Lepisosteus oculatus: one gene and its partners. The protein of the gene in region 3 purifies or fractionates together with the protein of the main gene of each other region. This does not show direct contact. Links are inferred from orthologs where the notes say so. Each region holds a gene or a part of one and is shown on either strand. Other genes may lie near its edges.

Region 1 (7,313 bases), on a different chromosome or scaffold from region 3:
AAATATAAAGTGAAACAAAGCACTTTAAGAATGATTCAAGTACAGTTAGTTCAAGTAAAAACGGGTATTAGAAAGAGAGAAAATTCTACTGAAATAGAAGACAGGTAATATGTTTTCAATATGACCACAACAAAACACTAGTTAACCATGAAGTAATGTCTCTCAGGCATAAAAATTGAAAACATTTAGAAAATAAAAGGATGATGGCTTCTGTATTAAATATTTCACTACACTTTTTATCATGGGAGAAATCAACTGCATGCTTCAGGGTGAGGAAAGGTGGAGCTTTAGATTATATACTTTTAGCACAGAAAATACATGAGAGTTACAGGTACCAGAAGCACTTACTGTAAGATGAACACAGTTTTAGGGATGTTGTTCATAGGTCATTAGTAAAACTATTCCAACTGTGACAAAACTAACCCAAGTAATTGTAGACCAATAACCCTTACTTCCAATGTAAAATGGCAGTTGTATGGTAATAGACATCTGAGTCTGAACTACTGCTCTTCCTAATTTATATCATTAATCTAGACTCTGAAATAGCAATAGTAGTACAGTATAGTTAAAAGCATAGATTTTTAAGCAAAGGGTAATATGTTACACTTGTATGACTTCATTTAGAATATTTTTACAATTCTGATACAAAAACGATTGTTGTCCTTGAATTTCATTGTAGAGGAGCAACAAAATACATTCCCGGCCTAAAAGGAATATCCAACTTTGACAGTTTAAATGAACATAAAATTAAATTAACAAACCTAAACAACTGGATTCATACCAAATTACTATAAAAGGATGTGTAGCTCTCACTTAATCCCAGTTCTTTTCTTAACAATCTTAACTCATTTGTGCATTACCCTTGTCTATCTGTGAATATGAAGTTAATCCATAATGAACACAGTATCTTAGATTCTTAACACATATCTCTTGATAGTTAAATATGTCAAGAAACAATATTTTTAACATACCAAATATTGCACACATAGTTTAACTAATTGCACGATTGGTTAAATAAATGATATATCAATAATGTAACAATAACTATTACTATTATTATTTTATGTATAGTAAGAGGGGTAAATAACAGTTTCTCTAAATCCCTCACATTATTTTTCTGTCCTTGGTCCACCTTAAGAAATGCTCTTTAGCTCAAGTGGCCAATAAAAATAGACAAACAGCTGACTAGCATTACAGGAAATGCATTTTCATTTTTTCAATCCAGCATACAACAGAAGTTTCTCGTTTCTAACAATTTCTGGGTCTTAAGGAAATTAAAAATATATTGTCAAGTGTTTAAAAGATTATTCCACATTAACACATGCAAAATGTAATAGCACTAATTTGTCACTTCTCTGTGTCCTAGGAATGAAGTCAGTCTTCCCTGCTCCTGACAGTGCTTTGTTTTATTATATTACCAAGGCAACAGCTGCTGGAATTGTCAAATTTTAAGGCTGAAGTCTATTTGATAACTGTCTGGCTGCAGGCTGGAGAAAGATTGTTCAGTGAATAACATATTTACATACTGAATACACCAACTTACCACACCACTTCTTCCTTCTTCAGGCTGTGCTCCGGGGACAAGAAGCCAGATCCCACTCGGCTTTTGGCAGCATCATCATGCTCACTGAGCTGACAACATTAGAATTATTCTACTAGCAAGAGGAAATCATGTCTTGCAGTGTCACTAGACTGGCCATGTGACCTGTCTCTTTCTATGGCAGTCACACTCCCAAATCCATTAGCTTTGTAGTTGTTTTACAAGCAGCAGTGAGAAGGCAGAAAAGGCACTGCTTCGTCAGCATGGCTGGGTGTTCAGCTGTTCTGTGTCAGGGAAATGCAGAGCTGAAAAATGCACTCCCCACAGCACATACTATCAGCATCCAGTAGTGCAACAAACATGCTGGGTCATCCTGATGAAAATAATGTTTCTTCCAAGTGTATCTATGAAGGTAAGACAAAAGACAGATAGGGACCATTTTGAACATGGAGATGCAGCTCCATTACTTAGTTTTATTCATTTGAATCCTTAAATACTTATAAGTACCACCACAGACTTTTGCTTCTCTTGTGATATGTTTTCTTCTTTTTCTTTATAATATTTTGAATAAGATAGAATATTTTTTAAACTGGTTGAAAACAATAAGCATCAAACTATGAATTGCAATATTTGATATTTTAAAGCTATAGTTTGTTGATACTTCCTGATTTATTTTGCACACAATTTGTCTAAAGTTGAAAATCAAGCAGTGAAATACGTGTCATGAATAATTGTCAGAACGCGGATATGAAAGTAGTCTTGAAACTCAAATATGTACAGTATACAGTATAAAGAAATCCTCCTTTAAAAAACTCTAGAATGAAAGAGTATTTTTCTGTTTGTATTTTATTGACATTTTTAGGAACCTAATTAAATCAGTCAATATACTGTACTGTATACAAAATTAAGAAAGAAACTTACTTTAAACATAAAAACATTGAAGTTTTTATGTACAGTAAAGACACTTTGGAATTCTTCAAGTGCAAACTGCTTATCTCATACTAAACAAATTGCTCAGAAGTAGAATCAAGCTCTTAAGATTTTAAATAGTTCAAAATAATCAGTAACCTTTTCAGAAATATTATATTTCAGTATTAATATCATTCATGTTCAAACAGAATGTCAGCAATACTGTGATCTACCAAAAGGTATTTTTTAAATATGCTTCTAGATGAGGAATACTGTATCTATAAATAAATCTCTGTAATAGCCTAAAAACATTTTGAACTACCATAGATTATGGACCAAATTTAATTAATCTTTTCTTCTGAAAAGTGGTTAGCCAGATAATTCACTCAGCGGAAGATATTATTGGAATCTTATAATCAAATACACAGTAAAAGATAAATATATCTGCAGCACCCTGCAAACCTCAAGGGATTATTGCTGTTGTCCTTTCAAAACCTACTTAAGCAATCCTTTTTCCTGTTGACAGTATTTAAAAATTATATTTATAATGTGTTGGTGATTGTTCATGGAGTGAAGTTTAACATATATTTTCTGGAATATAGCATTGAAAGAAAAAAAACTTCTGCATATGATCTCATAAACACCAGCTAAATGAGTAAAAGTTAAAAAGTTAAAACACTTGAAATTGTATTTCTGAATGGAATTTGCATTTCACCTCACAGATACATTTCTGTGTCAGTATGCACTGTATGTGTATATATACTGTAGCTGGCTTTGCAAAGCAATACTGTTCCTACTATGAATCATGTTTTGGCACATTCTCCAACAACGTTATTCACGACATTATATATTTAGTGTTATAACTTATGAGCATTGCTTGACAGAATTGTACCTATTTCAAAATAATATTTCTTCCACGTTTACTAATTTCACTACAACAAGAGGTCGATTAGATTTCTACTGAATTACAACAATTTAATCCACAGTGTATGAATTGTTATTTCTTTATAAATAAATTTAGGAATGTAGTAACGCTGGATGTACAACTGTGTCCATCATATTTTAACTTGTTTTACTGTTTTATTAGTTTTCCCATTGATTTGATAATGCATCACACTTTGCAAGTAACGACACGTTTCTGCAAGTACCCTACAGCCGACGATGACACAGCGAGAACAAACTGCCTATACCTTATAACAAGATTGGTGCCAGCTTAAAAAATGTGCTAGTTTTACCATCCCCTGGTCATTGATATCCCATAATGCAGTACAATATCTCTAGGTACAGATACGTAGTGACAAGAGCATGCGCAATTCTTGTTAAGAATAAGAGCCTCTAGCGGTTGTTAGAAAATGTTTTACTGGCCTTGTATAACAGGTGCTTAGTGCAGCTTTTATCTCACACTAATTTGTGAAAATAGATGGAATTTGAGGTATTCGGTACTTACTCTAACATTTTTTTTTCCTGGAAGTTATCATGTTGAATATTTGAACTGAGGCAATACAATATTTAACTTATAAAGTTAGTTGCATCAATATGAATGGATCAAATTAAATTTACAGCAAATTGGAATGATCCGCAAAAAACTAGACTTCCGTGTATAATGCATTTTTACACAAAAAATCAAGGAGTTAAAGACTAATGGCTTTATGTTCTTGCATTTCTTCAGGCGGTGTTGTTTTCCCTTCAGACGTGTGTCCATATGTTAATTCGACGTGACTTTTCAATACGAGATAATTCCGAAATCCAATCATTTGAAATTTTACATAAACCTTTAATTTTGAGTGAAATTTTACATTTTTATTGCATGCTGTGCATACTTATGGAAACATTCACATTGCGTAGTGTTTGCTTTAATAGATATGTGATACGGAATTACAGGTTTTATGGAAGGTTCGAACAGCTAACATATCCAGACATTAACAAGCTCATGCATGCCCTAGCTAGACGAACAGCTCTGAACTTCCACCTCTTCTGAGCCCAGTGTTGGCCACGTGACTTTGGAGTCTCTGCTGCTGCCGGTGACGTCAAGTCGAAGCCGGTGTAGAATTGCTGTGTAGTTCAGTTTCTTCTTCCTTGTTCTTTCGCTTCTAATCAGCCGGTCGACTTCAGAGAAACAAATAATGTCCCATCAAACTGGCATTCAAGGTAAATTATTTTAAATCTGTGTCTAATCTCTTATCTTGTTAAAAAAACATAATCGTGGTTAAAAAGAGGAAGAAGTTCAGTTACGATGTAATCAATACCGCTTTAGATTAAATGGAAGTTCTTGTTGGATAGCCTGTTGTATCTCTTTGCAAAGGAGAATAATATAACTAATTGTATTATTTTGTCTGTTGAGTTAGAATGAAAAAAAACGTACGTGAAATGAAACATGCTTGGTGATCTGCTATACGTGTGTTGTGGTTGCTCCATTAGTACTGCCTAGAACAAAGGTCTTGTGCAAATGAAGTATCCACAGCACCTTCAGTAGAAAGCAGCTATGGTGAGACAACGCCTACAGAGGAATTTAGAAGGATATGACTGGGTCCTGGCCTTGCCAACAAACCGATGAGACAGACAGACTTACTTTTTCCCCCCACAAGTGTATCAGTTCCTCCCTTAAAAACCAAAACGTTTATGATTTTTATAGTGGGTCAGGAAATAAGTATGGAAAGGGGATTCTATACAGATCTCTTACTGTCGTGTCAATACAATAAAAGAAAATCACTTGTTTTATTTAGAAAACTAGGGTATTTGACTGTTGACTACATTATTTACCAGAAACAAAATCAATTAAATACTCTAATGCTAATGCATTTGTGTGCTTAATCAGGATGTTTGTGTAAAGCACATTCATAATTCTTATAAGGACAGATGCATGAAATGTTAATGAAAATTCATTGGCTTAAGTTTTTTTTGAGCACTTTGGATGCGCTCTTATGCCTTTATTATAAGTACTGGTAGACATACATCTCTTGCAACACACTGTTCCTGTCTCTTTACAGACAGTTCTCATGAGACTGTAGTTTTGTCTTCTGCCCTTGATTTTCCTCTTGTAAGATTGTTGTTCCAAAAATAAAGTTTATTTTGTTTCTTCATAAATTAAAATTAGTTTTGAGCTTAATTTGAAAATCCTTTAATTAAATTCAGTACTAAAACCTGATTGAGGGGCAAGGGAGCTGTCCACTCTTTCATTTGCCAGTATTGTTGAATTGTGACATCAGCAGTTCATTTTATTCTGCAATGTTTAAGTGTCATGCATTTATGTACATAAAAACAATGTGTACTTAACGTGTATAGTATGCTTCAATTAGTAGCTAGACGTGTAGTTTAATAATGTTAAAATTTTGTTTCAGCTGCTGAAGAAGTGAAAGACATTTTTGCAAATGCCAGAAATGGGAACTATCGGCTCCTCAAGATTGTGATCGAGAATGGTCAGTTCTAACTCTATGTAAAGTATGGAATTATAATTTACTTGTGATTTCTGTTATGATATGTAATACAAATGCCAGCCTTTTCCCTTTTAGGACAACTGCATCAGTGATAATGTAAAAAAATATTATTCAGAAGAAAAAGTTAAAACCAAGACAACCAGTAAGTTAAAATTAATAAAACACGAAATCCCCAGTTACGATAGCACAAAGTCAAGAACTAAAAAAGGCTTTTATGTCATAACTGAATCAAATGAAAACATGTTTCTTCACTGAATGTTTTTATGGTTTCTCATTACCTGGCATATTCATACATTTGATAGCGTCAAATTAGAAGTGAAAGATAAAATGCTTAGCCGTGTACAAGTAACTAGTTTTCTTTCAGCATGTTATATTGTTGCATCTATTAGTATGTAAAAGTGTATTAAATATGTAGAAAAAAAACACCCATATCCAGATCAGTGAATGTGGATAATAATGGGACTTGAAATTAGGTTTGATCAAGAAAATTTTAGACACTTTGTGACTTTTTTAACTGCACTTCCCTATTTTGCAGTGCTAAAAACCTGCTTTCTTCATTAAAAAAGTTTCCAAAATGTATGGCAAAAAATAGGATACACATGTGTAAATACAGTACACAAAATTGAATTATTTTTAATAAATACAATCCAATATGTATTTCTTTTTATTTAAAAAAATATGTGAAATAACAGGATATAGACCCATATAATCAAAGGCATCAGTGTAGTTATATTCTTAATAATTAAGACTCATGCATGTTCAATCTTTTTATTTCAGAAGAGCTGGTAGTCGGCAGCACCAAACAAGCTGTGAAGACCTGGGACAAAGAATATGATTTGTATGTTCTTCCTTTATTAGAGGATGACCAGCCATCATATATCCTCTACAGGTTGGACTCACAAAATGCTCAGGGATTTGAGTGGATTTTTCTAGCCTGGTCACCAGATCATTCACCTGTAAGCTATCCAATATACGGTAACGATATCCCAAAAAATGAAAGAATTGTTATTTTTTCATTGTACGTTACAGACTCGAACCTGTGTTTAAGGATTTAATGTTGCTTTGCAAGAACTGAATATGGTACCAGAAAACTGCAGCTTTGTTCTACTGATGTTTCACAGTATTCACAAGTATTAGAAGACCCAGTACAGTCCACTTTTCCTGGCTAAGGCCATGGCTACTGATTATTAAAAATGAAATATAGATTCAGTACAGAATTAACAAAGTGTCTTATCTGTATAATGGGGTTGTGCTTGTCGCAGCTGCATGTGTGCACCTATGACTCCTGCTGGCCATACTCAACACTGTGTCTCTACTGAACTGTCGTGTGACCCTTTTGATTGTCTCCTGTCCACAAGAATGCTCAGTATTTAAAATCTTATTTTGCAATGGAAGCAAACACTCACTCAGTTCTTCAAAGATATTTGAGA
Region 2 (7,238 bases), on a different chromosome or scaffold from region 3:
TTTAAAGGTGGCTTCTCAAAGTGCTTTACAGAACAACAACAATTAAAAAATACACAAGTTGTGCACAGTGAGAGGAGGCAGTAGATGGGAGTATTGAATGTGGCAGGAGCACAGGGGTAAATAATAGAACCAATGAAGTAAAGACTCTTCTAAAGAAGACTGTTTTGAGTCTAGAAACTATATATAGTTAATACTATATCGCTAACATGTACTTACTGTTCTTATAACTATACAGCTTACATATACTAAAAACACATTTTAGCTATATAGTAAAGGAACAAGTAAAGGTTTATTCCCTACTGAAACGAGAAGAAAACAGCCAAAACGTTGTTCTTCTCTTTTCAGCCGGGAATAAACCTTTACTTGTTCCTTTGCAGCCTACGCATGCTGCTGCTGCTGCCCACCTGAACTACTTTAGCTATACAGTTATTTGTACGACCTCTCTCCCAGTTTCCCCCTGTCATCTGTACAATAAGGAAGCTTCCCAAGTTCACAGTGCCCATCGATGGGGTTTTTCCAGTTCTTTTTGTGCCGCCTACACTGTCGATGTGCACAGTTTATGGAACCTGAAATATGTGCTTGTTTCCCTCCTCATTTACTTCTGCAGGAGGTGTGTCAAAAACTGTTTGCTCTTGCTCCAGGAAATGGTTTACAGCTCTGAGTAGAAGCAGCTATGTCAGAGTGTTATCAGTTTTCTGAGCACACGCCTCGCTCAGGTACTGTTTGACAGGGCGCTCAATGTGATTTCTGCCTCTGCTGAACTGCAAAAAAAAAAAAAAGCATTTCCTTTTTTTCTATTCTTCGTGATCAAGTATGAATCCCAAAATAACTGCTGGAGGACTCAGGCCATAACATTCTGTAGGGTTTATGACTCAGGCTGTGTGTTTTCCTGTGCAACAGCTCACTAACTTATTTTAACTTGGGGGAAAATCAATGTAACTAATGCCGTTACTTCCTGCCATCGCCAAAACACTACGGTCCAAAAAGTGGCCTGTGTTTGCTTGTGTGTGCATTTCCATGGTTACCAAACGAATCACTATGGAAAATATGTTGTATGTTTCAAACATAGCATCTATGAGCATTTAAAAAAAAAAACCTGACTCATCTGACTTATTAACACAACGCTGGCTCTAGATTCTTAGATTATCGATGTATACTCATGCACAGCTTTTCTCACTTGGCCTCTTTAAACAGGGAGAAGTTTTTTAGCGTTAGGCTGGTGGCTCAGGCCTAGTAACTCGGGGATTCTACAAAGCTTCAGAAGGCGTAAATGACCAGACCTGAGAAAGATACACACTGCTAATACACTGCTTTAGGACAGGACAAAAACCATGCAAAGTACAGGAAGAAAGTGCCAGAACTGTACTTCATCCGCCACCAGGTGCTGGAACTAATCATGCATTTTCTACACTTAAGTACCCAAGTATCGCATAATAGCGAGGTTTTCTAGAACACAGTTCCGTGAACACATGGTCAAGAAGTCAGAATGCGTGCTACTCAATTTAGTTTTGTATGGACTTTGATAAGGAACCAGTAACAGGTTTGCTGTGAACAAAACGCCCGCAGTACAGCGTGCGTAAGCCGTGCTCAAGGGTACAAACCTGCCCCACCTGGGGTTCGTTCACTTTATCTGGCTGAAGGCAACAGACAGGTAAACGGCTAGAGCGGTAAACTACAACATGAACAGTTTATATTAATGTTACAATGTTTTATAAACTTCAAATCTACAGTTTATATTTTTTTCGGGAAGTTACAAAACCGGCACGCGTGTCAGATCTTTATATTACGACTTCCACACAGTAATGAAGCGCATCTCGTATGCAAACAACTCTTACCCTGAAGAATATTCCGGATTGCAACTGCTGGTACGGTTTTTCCCCCCTACTTTCGGTTTAATGCGAGTTTGTTAAGGCCCATATATGGGAATATTTGCGCCCTGTTTTCAAAACAGTAGATCCTGCAGGTTTTTGTCCCCTGTGGGTTCAAAAAGCTGTTTAGATAAGAGGAGATCAATCAACCACAGATGCTGGAAACAAATTGCACTACAGATTGTTCCATACCTTTATGAAAATACCACACGATGCAAACTTGAAGCATTTTAAACCACGGACAAAACATAAAGCGCCGCCTTTAAAACTCTATTAGATAAAACTTCTTAATTGCTATTCATAAAAACATCAGTCCCGATCAAAGTAGGCGTTTGCCGAGGCGTACTGATTTCTCTTGATGGAAATAAACTCGCCACCGATTAAAAAAAAAAACCTGAATCTGTGGAGCTAGCCTTGGACTTTAACAAAGGCAGGAAGAGACTTGAACCCCAAACGGGTATCGAAAAAACGACCAATAACTCGTATCTCAACAAGACTATCAGGCTGCTGTTCCATCGCGGACTTCATGTTGTTTTTTATTATTGCACGGTTCTTGCTGCAAATAAGATTTTTTTTTTTACGAAACAAAAGCCGTGCTATGCGCGCAAATCCTTCGTAAGACGTCATCGTTACCTGAAATGCAGTGGGGCTGTCGGTCAGCGTCGGGATCTTTGGGAGAGAAATCGCCTTCTTGCTACACGGCTAGAAATCTCTGGGCACGTCTGGTGCGTCCGGCCGGGGCGACGCCCTTTTGAGAGGCTGTGCGCTCCGAGCCCTGTGCCCACCCCTCGCCGGCTCCCAGACCGCCGCAGGACGAAAATAGCTCGCTTAACCTCGCAGGTCGTCGCTGCAGTCTTGACAGAGGCTCGCTCGGGAGGCAGACGCACGGTGCTCGTACAGTGCAAGAGTCAGGGTCCCCTTTCCCCCCACAATAGCAACAGAAAAGCCTTGCCTGCCCTGATTCCAGAAGTGTGCTCCCCCCCGTATGGATGAGTGCGCACACATGAAAGCTTCATAAAACAGATGGCGTCTCCTTTGTATTGAAATCCAAGTACGCGATTTTGATGAACGTGTTGAATCCCACGATAAATACCTGGGGTTTTTAATGCTTTTCTACATAGATCATTGTGCCTGCAACTGTAAAAAAAAAAACAACAACTAAGCACTGTTAGCTTCGACTGATCCAGTCATTAAGGCTCACATCCGGATTTTTCACTACATCCACCCTTATCAAGTACTGACAAGTAAAGGCAGAAGTCTTCCAATGTCATAGAGGCGTCTTCTTTCAAGTTATCTTTTTTTTTCCACAGCTTCCGAAGTTTTATTCTGAAGTTGTTGGGGGTTTTTTTCATCACACCACAGTGGCTTTTCAAACAGATCTTGCACACTTTGCGAAATAGAGGCATTTTGTTGCGATAACTGTTTACAAAAAAAAAAGATTAAATGATTCAATCTAGGCGAACAAAAGGCCAGACCGGTATAAGAAGCACTCCCATGTTGTGCTGATATACTGTATATGATGATGAAGACAAAATTACCATGACTGTTATTTCAAAACCTGCCGGTGGTCCACAAGTTAGAAAAGGATGATTAAAGGGGTTTATAAGGAGGTCATGACTGGTAAAGGCCGGGGGAAATTTGGCCGGGACAGCGGGGTAACACCCCTACTCTTTTCGAGAAACGCCCCGGGAGTTTCAATAACCACAGAGAGTCAAGATGACTTATGACTCATCCGAGAGACGGCTCCTTTTTACAGTATAGTGTCCCCATCACTATACTGGGGCATTAGGACTCACACAGACCCATACTGGTCCCACTAACCTTTCTTCCAGCAGCAGCCCCAGCTTTCCCAGGAGTCTCCCCTCCAGGTACCGACCAGGCTCACACTGCTGGGCTCCAGTGGGCTGCCAGCCGGGAGCTGCAGGCAGACAGATGGATGGATGACCCAAGATGGGACCCCTGTCAGCAGAGGAGAGCGCTGCCCTGCAGCCTGCTTTCGTACTACAGAAGATGGGAGAAGTTCTGGCCTGATGAGTCTTTAGGCTTAATTATGGACCAAGCACACAAAATGGCCTGACAGGGATGTGAAACACTGACCATCATTTCACGTGAGGCCAGATCAGTGACTCTCCTTTTTCAGAATAGAAAGGACAGATGTGTTGCAGATGTTAGAAGCACTCTAGACACCTCAGATATGTTTTGGTGACCTCATGGTCTTTGGAAGGTAGGAGAAAACTAGAGTACCTGGTGGAAACCTGAGCCAACAGTGGGAAGCACATGCAAGCTTCCCACAGAAGGAGCCCCAGGGCAGAATCGAACCCGGATCCCGAGGGCTGCAGGCAGCAGCAGCTCCCAGCCTCACGGTGAATAAAGGGACCACATCTGAATCAGTTCACAACACTGAACTGAACTCAATCCGTCTTTCGGATGAGACGCAAAACCGAGGTCCTGACTCTCTGTGGTCATTAAAAATCCCAGGGCGTTTCTCGAAAAGAGTAGGGGCGTAACCCCGGCGTCCTGGCCCAAAATATCCCCCTGGCCTTTACCAGTCATGGCCTCCTAATAATCCCCATCTATGAACTGGCATCTTCCAGGAGGGGCTGCACACTGGTGGGGGTGGAGGGGATCCCCATTACCTGTAAAGCGCTTTGAATGGAGTGTCCAGAAAAGCGCTATATAAGTGTAAGCATTATTATTATTATTAATAATAATAATGCACCTCGCTGAGAAAAACAGGAGTATTGCAGATCAATATTCTGTCCGGTTATGTGACGTCCTGCAAAGGGTGTATCCCCCTTGCCAACGTTGCCTGCCGGGATAGGCTCCCGATCCCTCGCATCCTGTATCGGACAAAGCCGTTGGAAAATGAATGGATAATATGAAGCCTCCATATCAACGATAAAGGGGGATGCCAAATAGTTTTATAGCTTGTAATGTATCGCCCTCTGGCGGCTGTCTTCCGAACTACCCAGCCCTGGGTCTCCGACTATGTAATCCCTCCACCCCGGAAGTGACGTCTCCATGACCCCGTAAGGTGAAGACGTGTAACCGAATCGCCCAATCAGGTCCTGCCACCCTTTCAAGCCCCGCCCACCTTCTCCCGCGAGACCGTCTCTGTCTTGTCAACAGCAGCTTTGCCAGCAACGTTACCCGTGGAGAAGGGCGACGGTTTTCTTCCCGGACACATTGAGCTGCTATTATAATGATAATAATTATCATCATCATCATAATTCGCCTTTTTAGGAGCAGGAGGACCCAAGCTATCACAGAACAGGAGGCCAAGCAGTCAGAGGACATGATCACGGAGGGTCTCAGGGAAACAGACTGCAAGTATTTACAGTACGGTGTCCCCGTCACTATACTGGGGCATTAGGACCCACACAGACCGCAGGGTGAGCGCCCCCCACTGGCCCCACTAACACCTCTTCCAGCAGCAGCCTTAGTGTTTCCCAGGAGTCTCCCCTCCAGGTACTGGCCAGACTCACACCTGCTGAGCCACAGTGAGCTGCCAGCTGCCAGACACAAACCTGCTAACTGGACTGACCTTGGGGATAAACTCGGACTGAGGCTGCAGGCCAGCATGCCTCTGGGCTGTGGGGGGGGAACTGGAGCAGACCCACACAAACCAGCGAGGAACATGCAAACTCCACACAGACAGCACCCCGGGAACTGAACCCAGGGCTGTGAGGCTGCAGTGCTCAACGCTGAGCTTCACAGGGCGGTGCGACAGGCTGCAGCAGTGGAGCAGAAGGAGCTTGTATCGGGGAAACTCCCCAGCCAGCCGCGGGGGAGAGCAGAAATGTGCAGCCTGCTTGTTGTCCGTTAGCAGGGCTGCCTCGCCGAGGTCCACACCCCCAGCTCTGATCAGCTGTGATGTCTCTGACCACTTCCTCCTGGCTCCTGCGTCCCAGGCACCCTGCAGGAGCCAGATCTGCATCCTTACCCGGACGAGACCCTGATCCAGAGCAGACGCTGCAATCTTTTGAGTCACTTCAGAAAAACAATCACATCCTCTGAAAAAGAGGCCCTTTCTCACATTACCATCATGTCTGGAAACTAGATTTATGACTGAGAGGCGTACTATAAAATCAGTTGTTCATACGTGATACCACAGTGTCAGTGTTTATAAACTGGTCAACAAGGTGAAATATTATTATCACTGCCATGTATTTTACTGAAATGTACAACAAAGGTCTCACCTCTTTAATAGAGTTCCTGTGATATTATCTAGTAACTAACTCACGTTATTTATTTAATTTACATGTTCATCACTTACAAAAAACCTCTGAAGGTGAAAGCCACAATAATAATACAAGTCCAGTCCTTGTACTGTCGTTTATTTTGATAAAGATAGGGTTTAATAGTAGAAATACAGTCGAAAGAAAATACAACGCAAACAAGAGTACATACAACATATCAATAACATCGTCCGTTTGACAAAACAGAGTCAAGAGCCAGTAAGGTGCGCACAGTTTTCATTTCACGTTTTTACATTTCCAAAAAGTCCGCCAACACGCCTTCACACCTGTTGTTGGCGCCGTCCTGTAAAGCCCTCAAAGGCGCTATAGAAAATAAAGCTGTGTCGTTAGAGAGATAAGAGATAGATAAGAGTGGATTGATCCCGTAGGGAAACGCTGTATCATCAGAGAGATAGAGATAGATAAGAGTTGATTGATCCCGTAGGGAAACTGATTCATATTATTATTATTACTTTGAATAGTCCGGGACACAGGACTCTCCCCTCTGTAGGAGCACAGTGCCGTGTCGGTGTCACCGTGAAGCTGAGTGCACACCGTGCACGGCGATACTTCCGCAGTGCTGCCGACGGGACGGGACGCCCGTGGCCGGTGGCCCGTGGCCCGTGGCCTCGCGCCTCGCGCCTCGCGCGGGCGCCGGGCGCGCGCCGCTGCCCTTTGTCCCCCCAGGCCCATTGTGTGTGACGGAGGAAACCCTGTGCAGCGCGGGCCGCCATCTTGGATCGGCAGACTCCTCAGCCCAGGATCGCCCTGCGGATCCCTTCACAGCGCCGGAGCGAGTCGACGCAGCCGCCCTCGGAATCACGGTAAGCGGGCCGGGCCGGACCTCCGGGCCGCCCCGCCGGCGGCTGTCGGAGCCGGGCGGTCGCCTCTGGATGAGAATCTCTCCCTTGTCGTCGGGGGGGGGAGAGAAAGGCAGGCAGGAAGGAGGAGGGGGTGACTACACCCAGATCGCGAATATTATCCGGCTCGGCAAGCCCGTCCGCTCCATTCCTGCACGGCGGCGGGTTCTGCACGCCGGGAAGGTGACTGTCGACGTTTCGTGTCGGTTTTTCCCCCCTCTTGTTTTCGCTCGTTTTGCGGGGCTGCGGGCGGCGCTGGCCGGTGGCTTTTG
Region 3 (7,020 bases):
AAATTCCAGATTTACTTACTTGGAAGTTCTGCAGATGCGTTTCAGTTTAAAAACAGAATTACAATACTGATAAACAGAAAAACCCTTCAGAGTTAGGTTTGACCAACACTAATTGAGAATTAAGCATAAGCAACACTGTTTTATTTTGGATATTGGTTACAATGCTCTTGGTCACTTTACAGTGACACCTGGGACTACGACCCCCCAGCTGTGTCTGCAAACTGTAGGAACAAACAGGACGTTTCATTTATTCCTGAAGAAGACCTTGGAGTCCATATTAGGTACCCCATTTTCACACCACTCCTTTTTATTCTTTCGGATCACATTGGAGGACAAATGTCAAATTTTCCATTTCCAGCAGCATGAAAGCAATTCTGTGAAAACGAGATTCATGAGGACGGAGCGACTGTCATTCCAAGGCACATCACAAAGCAGCGCCGCATTCAAAACAAGACACAAACGCTTGCAGGACAGCCCCAGTCCAGCTATGCATGACTGCTTTAACCTAAAATAATATTCACTTGAGACAGTCCTAATGTGAAATGGAATTAATTTATCTGGAGCCACAGAAATCTGCAGAACCCAACCAGCTGAAGACAATGCTCAGTGATCCACTCACTGATCTTAGACCTTTGCAAATGATTTGGAGTGTGTGGAGTATTTCCTGGACAAACATAAGCCCCTTACCCTAACCCATGAAGGATATAGATATCACTTCTTTTAAGTGACGTCTTCTTTCAGGAAAGTGACATCAGCTTCTTTAAAGCAAATGTAAAAGGTCAACAGGCAGCCACTACAGGGATGTGAGCACTGGAGTAAAGTGTTCCGACATACACACAGGAGAAACTCTTATCGTACAGAAATGACCTATAGATGACCTGACAAAAACCACCACCTATCTAGTTGTCTAAAAGATTGATCCCATTAAAGACAAACAAACAACAACCTGCAAAGAACCGGGTTTCCTCTACAGATGAACGTTACAACGGGAAAACAAGACTCCCAATGCAAGCGGCCAGATCCAGTTCACGTTTTTAGATGACTTGATAAACTTATGCACAGGCAGGTAGGTACGTTCAGCTCAGATAGTCACACGTTTTCTTCATTTTCCCATTGCTGCATATACTTTGTTCATGTCCAGGCAACTCATCAATTCTAAAAATTGATTCAGCTCTTATTCAAAGGGAGGAGTCTTTGTCTTTGTCTCCTTGCAAGAGGTGAATACAGTACCAGGGCCACTCCTGCAACAGTTACCACAGTCTAGTGAAACTGCTGCGTTCTCGTAGAAGTACAAGTAGACACCTAAGCTTTCCTCCCAGCAGTCCTCCTTAGCAAAATACTGCAGTCCTGTTACAAGCCTTTGGGATTACATCTCCATGTCTTTATACCGCCACACTCACTGTGCACCCTTCATAAAGCAACCTACAGATCCTATAGAAAAGTCCTGGTTCTCTATATAAATGGGTTCTATGGACATCCTGTTTAAACCTTTAGGTTATTTTCAAAAGGAAAGTCCTACCCTCCCCCCCAAAAAAAAAATCTATAGACCCTGCTGTCCCCTCTCCCCGGCACAGCTGCGCTCCGATGAATAATTATATCAGCGATTGACTCCTGTCTTCAGCCAAGGAAACATCTCATCAATCCGCTGAAACGCAGCTAAAACACTGCGTCCTCTAACGAGGCATGAACAACTGCCCATCACACCCCAGGTGCTCACGGGCTGCGGGCTGAGGAACATCGCCACCGCCGAGCTGAAACGCCGCAGAAAGTTACTACGCCGTTGGCGTCGGATCCGACGGGATGCAAGGGCACGCCACACACTCGTGTGCCGAGCCAGTGGGCTTGGGGCTGACTGTTGCGCCGAAAGCCGGTCCCTTCTCGCCTCGCCCACTCCACCACTCGCGGAGGTGCTGTCAGGGAGCACAGCCGAGCGACAGGAGCGAGGTGGACCCCTCCTCAGCCGTGCCCAGTACGACAAAAAAAAAAAAGACCAACGGAAAAAGCTTCGGAACTACAAATTAGCCTGAACTAGCGGTCATCCGAGGCAGAGCAGCCTGTGACAGAGCAAACAATAGTACATCTTGCAAAACATTAGCGGCTACTCGGATTTCTGACAATGCGTAATGCGTGACGGACTCACGAGGGGGTAAATTGGCCCCCCCAAAAAAAGAGAACAAGAAAGGCAAAATTATGTGCAATAAAAAATACTAAAATATGGCTAACGAATCAATTGTCTGTTGAACGCAAAGCATTATCAAATCCCAAAGCTAATCAAGTGTTTTTTTTTCCTTTTTCTAAAAAAACCCTGGTGTTAAAGTCTGACCTTTTCTCTTTTGGGGGGTACAATAAGGTTGGGGGGGGTGTTTGTCACGAAATCAACATGCCGTATCACGTAAGGTGATATCAGCTTACATTTCCATAAACTGCGGTCATTAAACATGCAAAGTAACTGATTTTGCACGGCTGCACCCCAAGTGCCAAAAGCATTTATCGCCTGCCCAGAGTTTATCCACAGAAAGGCTGCTGCTGCATCTATCCGAGGCGTTTCAGCGCAAACCGTACAGTAGTATGATGAGGCATCATTCCCCGGCCGTGGACATCAGTACCCACATTGTTCGGCAGTGATATTGCACAAGCCTACGCCTTATAATAAAACCCCAGCACCACACCAGCGGGTGGGGATACCTATGTACGTTTGCCTTACCAGTCGGTGGACGAAGTCTCGCTGATAACATCCTGGTAGGCTGTTAACAGGGCCAGTCGATTCTTGCTGAGATTCACAGCCATTTTGCTGTCCTCGCAGTCATCCAGACCTGTGTAATACTGTAATGGAATAAAAGGAGAGGAGAGAGTGAGGCTGCGGGGAGACAGATCTCGAGATTGGAACAAAGAGACGGTCCTTCTCTGCACTAACCTAATGTTCTGCTCGGTCCTAGTGCTACCACCACCGCGGGGAGGCGCAGGTTACAACGCCGGGTCCTAGCGCCGGCCCAGCCCGGCCATATATGGACTGCGCTGATGATGTCATTCTTGACAGGGTATACTGACAATCAAGAGAAGCCAGCAAAGGTTTATTCCCTGCTGGAAAGAGAAGGAAGGAAACACAACGTTTCGGCTGTGGAGCCTTCTTCGGGTTCAAAAGAAGCCTATCGCTCTACTGGTGAAGGCTGGCCTTTAAAAAATACATTCAGATTTTGGTCGCTGATTCAATGTTTTTTGACAGACCGGTGATTGAACAATGGGGATACCGTCATTGATTATTCAGCCATTTTTGCGACGGATCCTGACACACTCCAGTGACATAGCTGCTTACGTATGGAATCTCCTGGCGGGAGAGAAGGTTGACTCGGAACCGGCGGAGAGTTTGTTCCTGTCCAGCCCGGTGAAAATGAAGAAAGGGATACACAGAAAGGAACCGATATACTCCACTCCTCCAGAGAAAGAGGCTTTTGTGTCCTCGGTTTGTTGGAGCCACACCTCAAGTGGACAGCTTCGCTGGAGTCCCCTTGAGAGACGAATCAAGGCCTTGCGTTGAACGTCCCTGAAGGACGTCCGCGAGTGTGGCGCAGGGGTGCAGAATGATACTCTAACTGTGGTGTTCATAGCCCGGTCAACAGGGAGGTCTAGGTGTGATGTTCTGGGCAGGAGTGTCCAGCGTCTGCAGAACAGCTCCTGTAGAGACTGAAGGCAGCCCGACTGCACGGAGCTACACTGGGACCTTCCTGAAGGCTCGACAACACACAACACACGAGGGCCTTCTTGCCAGGTGAAGGTGGGGCAGCTGTGCCAGGGAGGCTCTGTTCACCACATGTAAAGCCTGATGCGCGTCTGTGTGTGGGGTGGGTGTGTTGGGAATATGTTTAGCATTTAGGGATCAGAGACCAGTGCACAGGTTTGTCCAGGAACATCGAGAGGAATCATGCTGGTAGAGAGAGTTTCACCAAGCATCATCTGCAACCCGGTGTACGCTAAATCATGCTTGTGCAGTTTTTGTACAGCTTCCAGCATTCCCCACACGTGCCATTGGCCTGTGAAGAGCTCCCATCAACCCTGTGGATCACATATTTTAATCAGCATAAGGAGTTTACCTACGGTCCATCACATCCATCAATAACAAGTGAGGTGGCCTGATACAAAATGATTGTCCTTACACTGATAACCTTGTGAATTTGAGTTATGCAGTTTGTTTTGATGTTTAGTATGTGAACCGTGTATGTCCCCTTTATACACGATGTTAAAGATAATCTCTGATTACAACATGTAGGCATGCTTGTGGATATCACATTCAGCTTCTGTCTTCTTACGTTCTACATTTACACGATGTTCCAATACTGAGAATATTCATCTCTGCTGCTGGAGAGCCACTGTGTCTATTGGCTTTCTTTCCAGCTGGGCTCTGAAATGCCTAATTCCTTCTTCAAGCAAAGGAGTTCAAATACTTTTCAGGTTTTTGCTCATTGACTATTTAAGATTGGCTACACAGCCTGCAGGACTGCAGCTCTCTGATCCTTAGGTCCTGAAGAATTTGGTTTCCTTTCATGTTTCAAGTTGAGACCCAATGATGAAGAGCTCCAATTTCCACCAGAAAACCCTGAAACTGACTGAATTCAAGGAGCTGTTGCAGCAAAAGTAACCTTCGCTGACAAAGAAAAACAAACCTAGTTTTGTTAGTGCTAATCATCCAAGAACATTACATCATCGGTGAGGATGTTTATATTTTACCGTGAACCAAGTGTTTTAGTAGGGATGATCTTGTTATGATGGCCTTAAATCATTGCTTTGTAGGAGTCTTTGAACCCTTTATTTACCTTCCAAGGCGGTGAGCTCATAAATGTTTAACTTAACCCAATCTCCCTTCTGTCTCTTGATATGAAGTGATCAGTTGTGCACTCTTGCACTCTTTTCAACGAGTCTTCATTGAAAGTAACATGAAAGCTGTGGCTATTTAAGTTAAAACCTCTGGAAACACAGTAACCATGCAGAACCTACATCCACAGCCCTACTCCTGAAGAGAGAGTTTGGAAGGTCTCCTAAGTTAAACCTGAACAGTCCTTCAAAAGAGACCAGCATACTCCATTATACCATTCAATGAAGCAAGTAACCACTAATATTCAAAGCTTAACTGGCACTAAACACCAGAACACATTATGGGTCTTCAGGAGCAGGGCTAGTTACTTGTTTTATAGTCTATGGTGATTCTGTAAGAGTACTGCACACTTAGATGAGTCCTAGTGAAATTTAAACTGAAATTCAGACCTTTAGCTCGTGGAGACTCTCTGCCATGGGGCCATGCCTAATAACCAGGCCATTAAAACGTTAAGTAATCACCATCCACCAGTCATGACCACTGTAGGACACCGCCTGTCAACCGTACTTCAATGTGCCAGAGTGTGTAGCGTACATTTTTTTATTTTTCATTTGTTCCACTGTTTTCACATTGTTTCACTTCACACTATGCAGAGAAAGAGCCTCACTTGGTGAAAATGATTGAAAACGTTTTAATGTGTCAGACTGAGCAAGAGTGCCACCTCTGAGCGAAACGTGTGTCCTACGCTTCATCAAGAGCTTTAGAAAAAATGACAAAATTGCTATTTTCACATCTGTTTTTGTTAACTTTGTAAGATAAGAGATAAGATCACTTTATTGGCCATATACAATTTCTTGTATTAGGAATTTGTCTTTTTGCATACCCCAGCCTGCTCTCCATGAGACACACAGACAGCCTCCGCAGCTGCGTTTTTTTACACATGTACGTATATATAACCTATACAGAGATCAGGTAGTAAACAGGCAGTTACGTGTTCTCCCTGACTCTGACACACACAGACAAGAACCCCCTCCCCCCACCGGCTCTCCCCACTGCCTAATGGGGCACCCCACATCCTGCAGCCTCTTCTCTCTGTAAGTGGGTTAACAATAATTAGTGCTCAGTGCTCAGCCAATCCCTGAGCCCCCAGACAGGCGGATGGTGGAGGTACCAATTATTTCAATTGTGATGTTGATTACTCTCGGGGAGACATCTGCCCAGCGCAATCTGGGCTGGGAACCCAGAGCCCCCCCCTCCTCCTCTCGCACCATGTCAGACCAGCATCGGATTTCAAGCTCCTCCGTCCCCCGGTGCAGCAGCACTGGGCTGCCGCCCTCCATCAGAGTGATTAGAAGGGCTGCCCTTCTCAGCCCGAGACTGACCGAAGCTGCCAGCTAGGGGCCGTGCATTTGCACCTGCTCACAGACCTGACGCGAGCCGACGGAGCCGTGCTTCCGGGGAATCGTGGAAGGTGTAGGAAACAAAATGGTGGGAGTGATCAGAACTGATTCATTTTTAAGTAATGCTAATATCCAGAGCTCCTCTAACTATAACAGTATCCATGAGGTTCATGCTTATTAGAACAGCTGTTCATCAGAAAACAAGAAAGAGTGCAAGCGAGAGGAGGTCATTCAGCCCATCTGGGCCGTTTTAAGGTTAATTGACGTGAGGATCTCCACCAGGTGTGTCTTGGAAGGAGCCAGGGTTATTGGCTTTGACAAAATGGCTGGGTATCCTGTTCCACCCCTCCACTACCCTTTGTCCTCAGTTTTAAAAGCACTTCCAGTTGCATGCAGATGCAGTTGCTGAAGTCCATTCCCTGGGCTCCTTCAAGAAACGGTAGGGAAGTCTGCTGGATCCACAACAGAACAGTGACCCAGCCGGCGAAGCGGGAGGGGTTGTTTACTCTGGTAGCGACTGTATGCTCTCATGGAAAATTACAACCAGCGGTGTTTTCATAATGTTAGCTTTGATTATAACTTGGGGATCTCAGCGCAAGTCAGTACCAAGCTGCAAAGCAGATGGCTAATGTGTGCTGGGAAGACGAGGCAGTCAGATTTGTAGATCCAAATGACAGAAGAGTAAAGCCAATTCATGAACTAAGCAACCGACTAAAAATTGTTTTTGTTTTTAGCACAGTTAAAGCTCATGCAGGCTGGCTAAACAATAACCCATGGAATGTCCCATCAAAGATGGGAAACTTAGAAAAATTC

The links. Proteins that work in one complex are often made in the same cells at the same time.
Region 1: the proteins of dbn1 (region 3) and twf1b purify together in Homo sapiens (affinity purification with mass spectrometry; 3 studies listed by BioGRID and IntAct, with this or other methods). This does not show direct contact. The link is inferred for Lepisosteus oculatus from reciprocal best matches to the Homo sapiens genes DBN1 and TWF1.
Region 2: the proteins of dbn1 (region 3) and gelsolin purify together in Homo sapiens (co-immunoprecipitation; 3 studies listed by BioGRID and IntAct, counting the BioPlex papers as one, with this or other methods). This does not show direct contact. The link is inferred for Lepisosteus oculatus from reciprocal best matches to the Homo sapiens genes DBN1 and GSN.

Annotation. Positions count from the first base shown.
Region 1 is NC_090702.1:29,640,635-29,647,947, forward strand, and holds the start of twf1b (twinfilin-1), read left to right. Parts: upstream 1-4,298; 5' UTR 4,299-4,572; coding exon 4,573-4,597; intron 4,598-5,787; coding exon 5,788-5,865; intron 5,866-6,660; coding exon 6,661-6,839; intron 6,840-7,313. UniProt on the Homo sapiens protein: Actin-binding protein involved in motile and morphological processes. Inhibits actin polymerization, likely by sequestering G-actin. By capping the barbed ends of filaments, it also regulates motility.
Region 2 is NC_090719.1:14,697,780-14,705,017, reverse strand, and holds the start of gelsolin, read right to left. Parts: upstream 3,016-7,238; 5' UTR 2,502-3,015; intron 1-2,501. UniProt on the Homo sapiens protein: Calcium-regulated, actin-modulating protein that binds to the plus (or barbed) ends of actin monomers or filaments, preventing monomer exchange (end-blocking or capping).
Region 3 is NC_090706.1:39,983,785-39,990,804, reverse strand, and holds the start of dbn1 (drebrin), read right to left. Parts: upstream 3,004-7,020; 5' UTR 2,915-3,003; intron 2,902-2,914; exon of another isoform or gene 2,824-2,901; 5' UTR 2,788-2,823; coding exon 2,705-2,787; intron 1-2,704. UniProt on the Homo sapiens protein: Actin cytoskeleton-organizing protein that plays a role in the formation of cell projections. Required for actin polymerization at immunological synapses (IS) and for the recruitment of the chemokine receptor CXCR4 to IS.